Linked DNA regions of Tribolium castaneum. The protein of the gene in region 1 binds, or shares a complex with, the protein of each later gene. Links are inferred from orthologs where the notes say so. Each region holds a gene or a part of one and is shown on either strand. Other genes may lie near its edges.

The links. Proteins that work in one complex are often made in the same cells at the same time.
Region 2: MED18 (region 1) and MED9 share a complex: the UniProt entries of both Drosophila melanogaster proteins name them as parts of the mediator complex. The link is inferred for Tribolium castaneum from reciprocal best matches to the Drosophila melanogaster genes MED18 and MED9.
Region 3: MED18 (region 1) and MED1 share a complex: the UniProt entries of both Drosophila melanogaster proteins name them as parts of the mediator complex. The link is inferred for Tribolium castaneum from reciprocal best matches to the Drosophila melanogaster genes MED18 and MED1.

Annotation. Positions count from the first base shown.
Region 1 is NC_087394.1:9,286,531-9,289,163, reverse strand, and holds MED18 (mediator of RNA polymerase II transcription subunit 18), read right to left. Parts: upstream 1,447-2,633; 5' UTR 1,289-1,446; intron 1,238-1,288; 5' UTR 1,236-1,237; coding exon 567-1,235; 3' UTR 534-566; downstream 1-533. UniProt on the Drosophila melanogaster protein: Component of the Mediator complex, a coactivator involved in the regulated transcription of nearly all RNA polymerase II-dependent genes.
Region 2 is NC_087395.1:15,956,679-15,960,924, reverse strand, and holds the start of MED9 (mediator of RNA polymerase II transcription subunit 9), read left to right. Parts: upstream 1-1,441; 5' UTR 1,442-1,482; coding exon 1,483-1,583; intron 1,584-1,639; coding exon 1,640-1,745; intron 1,746-4,211; coding exon 4,212-4,246. Other genes in the region: Mrgn1 (E3 ubiquitin-protein ligase MGRN1), read right to left, coding at 288-439, 488-675, 723-982, 1,031-1,163, 1,209-1,291. UniProt on the Drosophila melanogaster protein: Component of the Mediator complex, a coactivator involved in the regulated transcription of nearly all RNA polymerase II-dependent genes.
Region 3 is NC_087399.1:8,918,245-8,922,412, forward strand, and holds the start of MED1 (mediator of RNA polymerase II transcription subunit 1), read right to left. Parts: upstream 2,806-4,168; 5' UTR 2,664-2,805; coding exon 2,645-2,663; intron 2,582-2,644; coding exon 2,442-2,581; intron 2,393-2,441; coding exon 1,677-2,392; intron 1,626-1,676; coding exon 1,394-1,625; intron 1-1,393. UniProt on the Drosophila melanogaster protein: Component of the Mediator complex, a coactivator involved in the regulated transcription of nearly all RNA polymerase II-dependent genes.

The DNA.
Region 1 (2,633 bases):
TTTTTAAGATATCAGTCAAAGTCTGGGAAAGTAGTTAAAATACCAGGTGTCATCACTTTGGTAGACACCCCCTAACTTTTTTATTTAAAAAAGTATAAAAAGACATATTCAGGGTTTTAGGGAAAGGTTTAGCAATATTTTTTTAAGGATTTTTCAAGGCTGTGTAGATTGCTGTTAGTTTTTAAGATATCAGTCAATGTTTGGGAAAGTAGTTAAAATACCAGGTGTCATCACTTTGGTAGACACCCCCTAACTTTTTTATTTAAAAAAGTATAAAAAGACATATTCAGGGTTTTAGGGAATGGTTAAGCAATATTTTATTAAGGATTTTTCAAGGCTGTGTAGATTGCTGTTAGTTTTTAAGATATCAGTCAAAGTTTGGGAAAGTAGTTAAAATACCAGGTGTCATCACTTTAGTAGACACCCCCTAACTTTTTTATTTAAAAAAGTATAAAAAGACATATTCAGGGTTTTAGGGAAAGGTTTGGCAATATTTTTTAAGGATTTTTCAAGGCTATATAGATTGTTGTTAGTTAAATCTTAATTGTATTTTATTTATAAATAAATTACGGTAAATTTCCAAGTCTTTTATAATCGATTTTTTCAAGCTGAACCAACGGCCTCAACTGCTCGGCAAAAATTCTCATATCCTCCGCAATAGCATCTTGTCCACTCGGGGCCAAAACGGACAATTCAACTAAATAACTCTGGGAAATCGCTTCTACGCCTTCGCCCGGCTTACTCGTCATGCTCCCCATTTTGAAAATCTTCGACACTGTGATTTTCATCCTGCCTTTGCGGAACATGTACCCCCGGGCGATGTACTCAAAATCCACTCTGCATCCAAGCTCGGTCAAAAATTCAACAATTGTGGAACTGCAAGCCATGTCAATACTCGATCTGACGACTGTTGGCCGGTTCTTGTCGCCTAGCTCCTGTTGCCCCACGTAGCGCAGCTGCCAGGCGGCGTCGGGCACGTCGAGGGCTCGCCGGACTCGCAGTGGGAGCACCATGGGGGCCCCTGGGTTGGTGGCCCGGAGGGTGAAACACAATTCGTGGTCGTGGAACGACTCAGGGCCGCTGTCTACGTTGTCGCACAGCCCGCGCAAGCGGTGGAGGAGCACCTCGACGTATTGGTCCAAGACTGAGCCCTGGAGGAGGTACTCCTGGTTGGGGATTATGTTGCATTTGAGGGCGGCGTTTAGGGAGTCGATGGCCGTGCCAGGAGTCCCCATTTCTGTAACAGTGACAATCACTTTGCGGAAAACGGCCTATTTCCGACAATTACTGAAGATTATCACAGTTTTTGGAGGTTATGTTTTGATTGAAGTGTAAGTTGTCAGTGTATGTCGGCGGAGACAGCCCCAAAAATGGTGGTGGCACCATGAAAATTACAGTCGACCAGACAAGGGCTGCGCGCATGGAGCTAGCACCGTTTCCCCACCATTCTCGTTTTCTACAGCCAAGTTCACACCAGGAAAATTATCAAAATAATCGTAATTCATTATAAAAACATCAATAAGTTGTTACGCTGACTTGCATAACACATTTGTAGAACATCTCCTGACCATTGTAATGAGTTTCTATTACAAATTAAAACTTAACTGTATTTAATTTCTGCATTTTTTATTCTCATATTCAAGCAATGCAAACTGATTTTTTTTCACCCCCTTTATATGCAATTTTCTTTATTTTTGCAGGAGATTAAGCTCTTCGATAGGGCCTTTGACTGTTAAAAATCATGTTCGGACAAACACCCCTTGGGACCTTAATGAATTTTTAAAGATTCTTTAAAATTTTCCGATTTCGCAAATTTTATCTTTAAAAATTCATTACAGTATTCAGAATGGCCTCCGAAGGGCGAATCAGTTATTACAGGAAATGAGGAAAATAGTAAAAATAACGAATAAGAATTTTGCAAAATGCTTTTATAGAAAAGTTGTTGTACTTTATGTTTTATTACGTGGTAAACTTAACACACCTTAACATGCCCTTTATAAACGATTAAACGCCCTTTTTCATCAAAATGTTTAAGACGTAAAGTTCATTTTTGCCCTTTATACATTTCAATAAATCATACTGAAGTTTATGTCGTTGACTCAAAGGTAAATTTATCTGTCCATAACATATTCAATAGTAATTAATAACGCTCTAAAAGAGCAGAAACAGACACAAAATCCATAAAAATGAAAGATTTGACATTTCCAAATGATAACATAACCCTACTTTTAAAACCGAATTTTCTGGAGACTTAAATTTAACACAATTTGTGGCGATACCAGTAATTTTCACACCAAAATTTCACATCAACGGCTCGTTTGCACAAATAAAAGGAGGAAAATAGTGAAAATAATAAATAAGAGTTCTGCAAAATGCTTTTATAGAAAAGTTGTTGTATTTTATGTTTTATTATATGGCAAACTTAACACACCTATACATGCCTTTTATAAACGATTAAACGTCCTTTTTCATCAAAATGTTTAACACGAAAAGTTCATTCTTGCCCTATATACATTTCAATAAATCACACTGAAGTTTATGTCGTTGACTCAAAGGTAGATTTATCTGCCTATAACATATTGAATAATAGTTATAAACGCTCTAAAAGAGCAGAAACGGACACTAAAATCCAA
Region 2 (4,246 bases), on another chromosome or scaffold:
CGGACGCAGACAATGCAAATCAGATCCTTGAACACAAAATCTCGCCTTCAAGCAGACAGCATGTTAATTATGACAATTCGTCAGAAAAAAAAGAATACATGTTTTATTCAATAGTAAACTGATTTAGATTCTGGCCTCAGAAGAGGTTTTAAAGTTATGTGTATTATTTATTGTGGCTTAGTGCCAACAAAATTGTCCGTTTGTGAGAGAGTTCCGCTTATAGGTGTCCGTTAAGAGAGATTTCACTGTGTATTTATGCCCAGTAGGGCATGTAAATAATCAATCACCTTGTCGTTATTTTTGTTCTCAATGCCGTATATTTCCTGCAGGAGGTAGCAAAGACCGTCAACGAATAATTTCTGTTTGAGAGCTTTTAAAACATAAGTACCGTCGGACAATTTTTCGGCTGTGGCGATAGTTGTGTGTGATTGTCTCATTTCTGGAACAATCAATTCAAAAATTAAATTCAAAAACGGGTCAAACCAACCCTCAGCGCCTTCCTCCGCCACACAGTGAATGGCAATTGGAATAATCTCCCGGTCAACATCATACAACAACTCCTCTTCTGTGTACTTCGAGGGATCAAAAACGTGAGTCATTTGGCAAAACTGTTGGTTCGCACCGCGTTTGTAATGAAAAGTCTCGGAGGTCGTGTTAGGGTCACGCGGCAAGTACCTTCAAACCCCATAAAATTGCAAACCCATGACAAAAACCCAACTTACGTGACTCCACTTGGTGTAAACTCCTCGGTACAAAAATAGTAGATTGTTATTGCACACCTGACGTCACAATCGAACGTGAACTCGATATTAAACGTCGAGCTCTTGCCCAGCTCAATATCCCTGATGTCCCGCTCGTTCTTTTCCGCCGGTTTGGAATAATCAGCAGGGGCGCGGACAAACCGCAGCGACTCTTTCCGGATGTTCACCAGACTTTTGAGCGTTTTTGTGGGCTCATTAGGCTGGGGCGGGGGGTAGGGAAACTAGAAACGGCACTGTGGGGGCGAAACAACCGCATAATGGCTACTTACAGGGGTTGGTCTACTGCCCAGGAAATTCAAATCGGAGTTCTCGCCGAAGAGGTAAGACTCGGGCTGGGGGGTGTCGAAGCGCTCGCCCCCCATTATAAAGTGGCTCCCGAAGTAGTTCCCTTCAGAAAAACGCCTTCAAGGTAATTGGTACGGAAAAAAGCAAAGCGACATACCAGACCTGGGCGGGTACTTGTACGCGTGGTTTGACACCACGTCCACTTCCTCGACCCCTGCGTGTTGTCTGCTAGCCAACGAACCCATTCTGCGGGCTTGAAATTGCCAAGTTTTTCCAAAATCAGAAATTATTGTTGTTTTTAGTTTGACATTATTATTGACACTTGTGACATTTGAGGCGTCGTCGCCAACACCAGGGACACAAAATCCCTGAGTGAATGTGTCAGAAAATTCATGTGGGAAAGAAAATTCAATGAAAATTCAGGAAATGCCTTGCTATGATGGAATCTGACGAGCACAACCAGGAGTCAGAGAGGAATGTCACGGTGGAAAATTTGAATATCGAGATCTTGCCCATTATCTACGAAATAATACGCAGGTTTGTTGATAAAATTAGTGACAGGCAAAATCGTAATGTCTTGCATAATCATTCAGTGTTGAGAAAGACCACCACGATAACACCGCCAAGGCACGAGAGTCGCAAGACTGTTCCCAGAAGGTGCTCGAGTTGCAAAAACGTTTGGACCAAGCCAGAGCCGAGGTAACTTTCTTCCACCCTAATCACTTCATACCCATAGTAGGGGATACGAATTAGGATCATACTGTACTATCTTCTGGTTACCGGATGAAAATATCTTTTTATCAGAGATAATATCCAAAGTCCAAAGGATTGTATCGCGAATAGGTTTCCTAAAAAAAATGTTCCAGGCCATGGTAAAGGGGGCTAAAAAGCGTCGAATTTTAGCCTTTTTTCAGTATTTTACAACTGAAGGCTACAGGGGAAAAACAACCTCAGTCCACTTGTTTGAGAAAATGAGGTGGGGTTGTAATATTGTAGTTTTTGAGAAAACAATCAGATAATTGAAGCGGGAAATAGCAAATACGACTTCAGTATTGAGCAAAATATGTTACAAATTACACTATAATGAAAAAAGTTATGGTTCCACGTTAGAAAACTTTAAGGATATAATTATTTTTTAGCTCACTGCAATCAAGAAAATAAAAAAAGTTAAGAGGCTTGTTAAAATTTGAATAACTTTAAACTTAAATGAAATACCGTATTTTTTATTTTTGCATCTAAAAGACCTTTAAATTGTCTATTAAAGAACATTAACAGTTAAGTGCTGATTACTCAAAAGATTATACTTAACTTAAAACATTAAAAAAAGTCATTAAAAATTATTCACAATTGTTTCAATAGTCGAAGAGTAAAATTTTCAGCTAATAATAACTTTATTATTTTTCAGTTATTTTTCACAGTAAAATAACTAAAATTTTCTTATCTATGGCGAATTTTTAAATCCCTGTTTAAACTCCAACAAATGATCCGTGGTGAAGTTGCTAAGGTTATGGTAACAGTAATCCTCATGAATAATCTGCATTGTTGATGAAATTAAATTTTAAAGTCAAATATTTGTTTAATTATAAAGGTTAGGCATTTGAAACTTTGTTTTTAAGTAGACAATTTAATAATCTTTGAAAAATAAAAACAAAAACTTTTATTATGTTATTCAACTTTTAACAAACTTCATAATTTTTCTACGTTCCTAATTGCATGCGTTAACCAATTTAACTTTGAACATTCTTAAAAAAATAAGTTTGTATTGTAGCTAATTTCGGAAATATCCTATACAGGATGATTCAAAAATGTTCGACAAACACTCGTATGGTGATAAAAGACGTTCAGTTAAGCACAAAAATGAAGTCAGATTTTTTTATATATTTTTAAGTTTGTATTCCTTAGCAACGGTATCGATTGTTTCTCTTTTGTTTCCTAATATGTTGAATTTAAGATATTGTCGAATTTACAAGTTTTTTTATTGTTTTGCACATAATTAGACATTATTTGTTAATTTTTTTCAACAGGTATTTGTTTAATGTTGCAAGAGATGTCGTTTCTGCTAATTAAGGTCAAAAAAATATGGTCCGAAGCATCAAAAAATTAACTTAAAAATTTAACTTTGAAGAGCTGTAGCTATCTCGTGAAAAAAGACTCAAACAATTTTTTGTCATAGGAACTTTTAATTCAGTTTGATGTCCTTTATCAGCACCCGAGAGATTGTACGAGTACTTTTGAATTACTCTGTATATTTGAAAGTAGTTTTAGATGAGGCAGGTGATTAGTATCTACAACTTAAGGAAAAATAATAATAATAAAAACCCGTTATATGTACGAATAAACAGGTGGTTTCAAATGAACAGCAAAGTTGCTGTTCTCTGCTCTTCCACTTAAACCTTTCAAACAAGAAGAAATATACAGCAAATGAATAAAGACAAAATAAAAAAAAATTGACATAACAAACCAGTACAAAATAACCAGTAGATTCCCATGACTGTCCTTGTTCGGAAAATTATTTGTCAAATATTGCAGCCTTGAAACTATAAGAAGATTCAATTTCTAGAACTGTCGATGGATGCTATTATAATCTTTAGCTACATTAAAAAAGGGACTTTTAAAAGAGACTTGTGCGACTTACGGTAACATTATGTATGTCACGACGGAAGATTATTTCATCAGTGGGACTTGGAAGTAACTATTTTGTGATATAAATAAAGTCCAAGTTTTGTTAATTTGATTTTTATATAGCATGGTCGCCTCACGTCCACTTTCAATTATTTGATCTTTATTTTTTTAAGTTTTCATTTTTTCTTGTTAATTTTCAATACTTTACACAATCATGCAAAATTCGATTGTCTAATTTCAACACTTTTAAATTTGTGTTTGTTAAATAATATTACATTGTTGAAAATGAACCTAGAATGATTCAAAGTGAAAAAACTTGAAAAACTTTATTTATACTCCTTCCTCAAAAGCCCAAGTATGTTGGAATTTCCTGATGCCATAGGCAAACCGGAGACAAGAATTCTGAACCAATTACTTTTCTAACAATTAAAGATAAATAATGGACTTTACCTACTCGCATTTTTGATAAAATAAGCTTCATCCGTTAAACAGATGAGTGCAGAACGACCGTAATTCGAATCTTAGACTACCAACCCCTTGCAGATCCGGCTATTGCCCGGGATTGAGTACAGCAAAGA
Region 3 (4,168 bases), on another chromosome or scaffold:
CTAAAAAGGGATTATAATGCGAAACTGGTCCTTAATCTTAAAAGAAAAGATTTGATAAAAAAAAATAAAAACAAAAAAATCATATTTTTTTCACATTTAGATTTAGTGTTATTATTAAAACTTGTGAATCTAAAACTAATTTATTTTTAAGATTTTTAAAATTAATTAAATTTTAGTAGAGAGGCTGAGGATAGGTTGTGAATAACGTGTGAATTTTTTGAGATTTTTTTCAAATTTGAAACCCCCTCAAACTCCAGAAAAAGAATGCGTTGTATTTGGGAGAAGGTTCGAAGAAATTATTAGGGATGCCTTGACTAAGCATTAATTTATATATTATTAAATATTCAAATTATTAATTAAAAAAAACAATTACAGGACATAAGTTTCTAATTTCCAGTCTAATTTTGATATTGTTAAAATCTTTAATAATTAAAACCTGCCTAAATAATTTTTTTAGAGTTATTTTCATACACAAGATTTTTTTGTCCCATCCGCCATGTGTAAACAAAAAGTAAATTAATCGTGGTTTCAAAAGTTTCAACAAAATCTACCATTTATTTATAAAGTAATTCTTAGAATTAGTGCCTTTTAAATTAACAGAATTTTATAAAGATTGTTTAGCGATAAAAATGTAAGGTCTTTTTTGTGTCCCGTCCGTCACCAATTTGTATTCTTTTTCCTGCTCATATTTCAAATTTTACAAATGTGGCTCCGACTATTGTAGGTTGCAAATTGTTTGACTGGTACTAAGTTCCTATAAAGAAAAATTCACTTCTACTGATACTGGTGATAAAAATTGGTAAAAAATCTATAGTGTCCCGTCCGTTAAAATGAAATGGCTGCTTATATATCAAGAATTGAGGTGGTTAATTAACTATTTTTTGACGTGAAATTAATTGTTTTTTTAATAATAATATAATAATAATAATTTATTTGTGGCAGTAAAACAGTTACAATATAATTAATTACAACAAGAAAAAAAATACGATAACAAAATTAAAATTTTCTACGAGTTGTTCCTACCACAAAGTGGACCAAAAGACAGCAAAGCTGATCAAGGTTTTGACCCAGACAATAAATGAGAAATAACAAAAAAATAAACAATTTGATTGAAGAAAAAAATAAAAAATATAATAATAATAAAATATCTAATTCTATTTAACAAAATTATAGAGCAAAAAAACACATAAGAAAAATCATTTTGTAAGAAACATTTTGTATTTATGTTTAAAATTGCTGATTTTAGAATTTTTTAATGTCAGAGGAACTTCATTAAGTAGATTATTTTTGATTATTTACCATTTTTTGGCTCTCGAAAAGTTTGTACCGCAAACTAGGAGAATCAGTAGTCAACATGACCATTTTTTTATAAATATTATTGCCAACCACTTACCACAAAAAGGCCCTTATTGTTCCCAGACTCCATTTTCCCTTCACTGGCGTGATGTACTATTAAACTAAGTAACGGATGAGTTGCTGATTGTTCTATAGTATCCAATTCAGTAACTTGTTGAATTTGTCTAACTAAATTGACACACATTGGCATTGGTTTGTTTAATTTGAGGACAAAACAGGCCGGAATTGCTGCACTATTTTGGCTACTTAGCGATGAAAAAGACGGCGTACTAAAATAAATTTCCCTCAAAGAAAAAAAAATTTTTTTTAATAATTTTTACCTTTTCCCGTTAATATTCCTATTAACTGTGATGAGAGTGGTCGTTTGCAACTTATGTGTAGCGGACCCTTCCATACACACCGTCACACTGTACCCCAGCGCTTTACTAACGATCGTATCAACAGTAATAGGTTCAATATCACATTTCTCAACATTTAATAAATCATAAGGAGAGACAAAATAGGTGAGTTTCATGGGGTGTCCCCCTCGGCGCTTCTCCAGCACCCCAACCGGAGACTTATACAGCAGGTTGAAAGGTTCCTTCATGAAAGACTGCAAGTGAGCCAAGGTGCTCAAATCAGACTCCAGCGACTGCAAGGCTGTGAACGCCTTACACTTGACCTTTTTCTCAGCATTGAGCTGGTAAATCGAGGCAAAACCTTCCAACTGGGCAGTGAAATCGGCAAAATCGCCACTAGATAAACAATTGACGAGCTCAGCGCAACTCTGTTGCTCCAATTTACTGTCATGGTGCACTTTCACGTCTTTGACGGCCCCCGTCTGGTCGAGCACTATCTCCAGGTAGAACATGTCGGAGGAGATGAAGAGCTCCACCCCCGAGGGGCCCACCATGAACTTGAGCCCCAGCTGCCGCGTCAAGCTCTCCAGCCGCTCGATCATGCTCTGCAAGGACGTCACTTTGATGGAGTGCTGCAGAGTGTCGAGGCATTTCTGGTGCTGGCTCTTCTCGACGCTGTCCAACGCGTAGCGCTTGTCCTGAAAGTAGGGCATCAATGGAGGCAGTGCCAGACATGACATAACCTACAAGCATGGCCATTCGCACATTTTTGGATATCTCTGTCAAGCTTTTGTACTGCGACGCCTTCGAGCGCAGCTTCTCCATCAATATCTCCAACTGCCAGTCTTTGGATTTGTCCACAACGGACGGTGGCATCGCTAAATTGCCTTAAAAGTAAACAAAGTTGTAAATGTCAAAAGTCAAACTCTTGGCTGGGGCGCGCAACCCACCGTTTGTTACGCGATTCATGATGAGTTCGGGCGAAATTAACGTTAAATGTTCGTAAACATTTTCTATTTGGGGCGAATTAAGGGAAAAAAACCGATTTTTCGAACATACATCAGCACCAAACAAAAACTTGACAGTTTCGTTACTTTCCCCAATTTAGGGATATTTGGCTACGCCACCGGCGCCCAATTCAAACTCGTGTCTGATAATAACAATAACAATAAAAATATTCAAGTGCTTTTCCATTCATTTGTGTTTACCAACTCTCAACTTTATCAAGATTTGATACTTTGGAGTGCTTTGAATTGGTGGCACATATGTTGTGCTTATTGCAACGCAAATATTTTAATGAAATGTGGTCGTAAAACAAACTCCCGGAATTAATCCGCGTTTTTTACCAACGAATTTCGTATTAGATCCGTCAATGACAATTAAAGCCGTAATTCGCTACAACTTTTCAACTTTTTAGATCGCAAGAAGTTGCTGACACGATAATCTCCTCATCTTCCCCCAGAACTGGAGCAAATGCCCGCTAACACATCACAACTAAGATAATAGTACACCATAGGCACATTTCCAAAATTTTGAATAGTTTATTCTCGTTTTTTTTTTTATAAAGAAATCAAATACGTTGTGCGTTAGTTTATACCACATAATGTTTTTTTTTATTATTTTGTAGGCATTCAACAAAAATCACATAAAATTGCTTAGTTTACTGTATTTCAAAATTTCTTAGATAGATGTTTTTTACAAAAAATGTTTCCAAACCGTTAAAACATGATATGAGGGAGTTTTAGAAGAAATCAAGCAAGATTGACTACTTTATTTTACTCCATGTGATTCAGATAAAATGAAAAGCTTTCAAAAACCAAATGCAACAAAAAATAATTTACACGAAGGGTGTTTTACATTTTATTTCTGTAATAAATTAATAATAGCCCCCGTCACCTTAGGTATCGTCTGATATTAAAGAAGAACCTTGGTCCCCTTTATACCATTGTATTTGCTGTTTCAAAACTATAAAAACGTCAACGTCACATTTTCTCACAAAATTTGCTGTGATGTGTGCTGTTATAAATTATTCATGCAGTTGAAGAAAATAATAACTAATGTAATTTATACTTTCAATGAGATATCTAATCATTAATAACTATTTTACAATTTTATCAACCTTATTTAAAAAATATTTGGTAAAGTGCGTCGTTGTTGTTTTTATAGTTTTGAAACAGCTAGTGGCAGATTTAGTGTAATAAAATTAAAAGAAAAAAAATTGTAGTAGTTATTTTTTTTAACAAGTTGCTTTGTAATACAAGCATAAACTAAATAACTCAAAATTGCCAGAAATCACGTAAATACATTAGTTTAATGAGTTATAAAAATTCATCCTTTTAGTTTTACGAATAGTTTTATTGAATTTTATAACAAAATTTATATTCTTCTTCAATAAACATTTCCAGAAATTAATTAAGTGTATTTAGAAAACATTGGTATCATTATTAATCTTGTTTTTCTTAAAAAAAAACAGA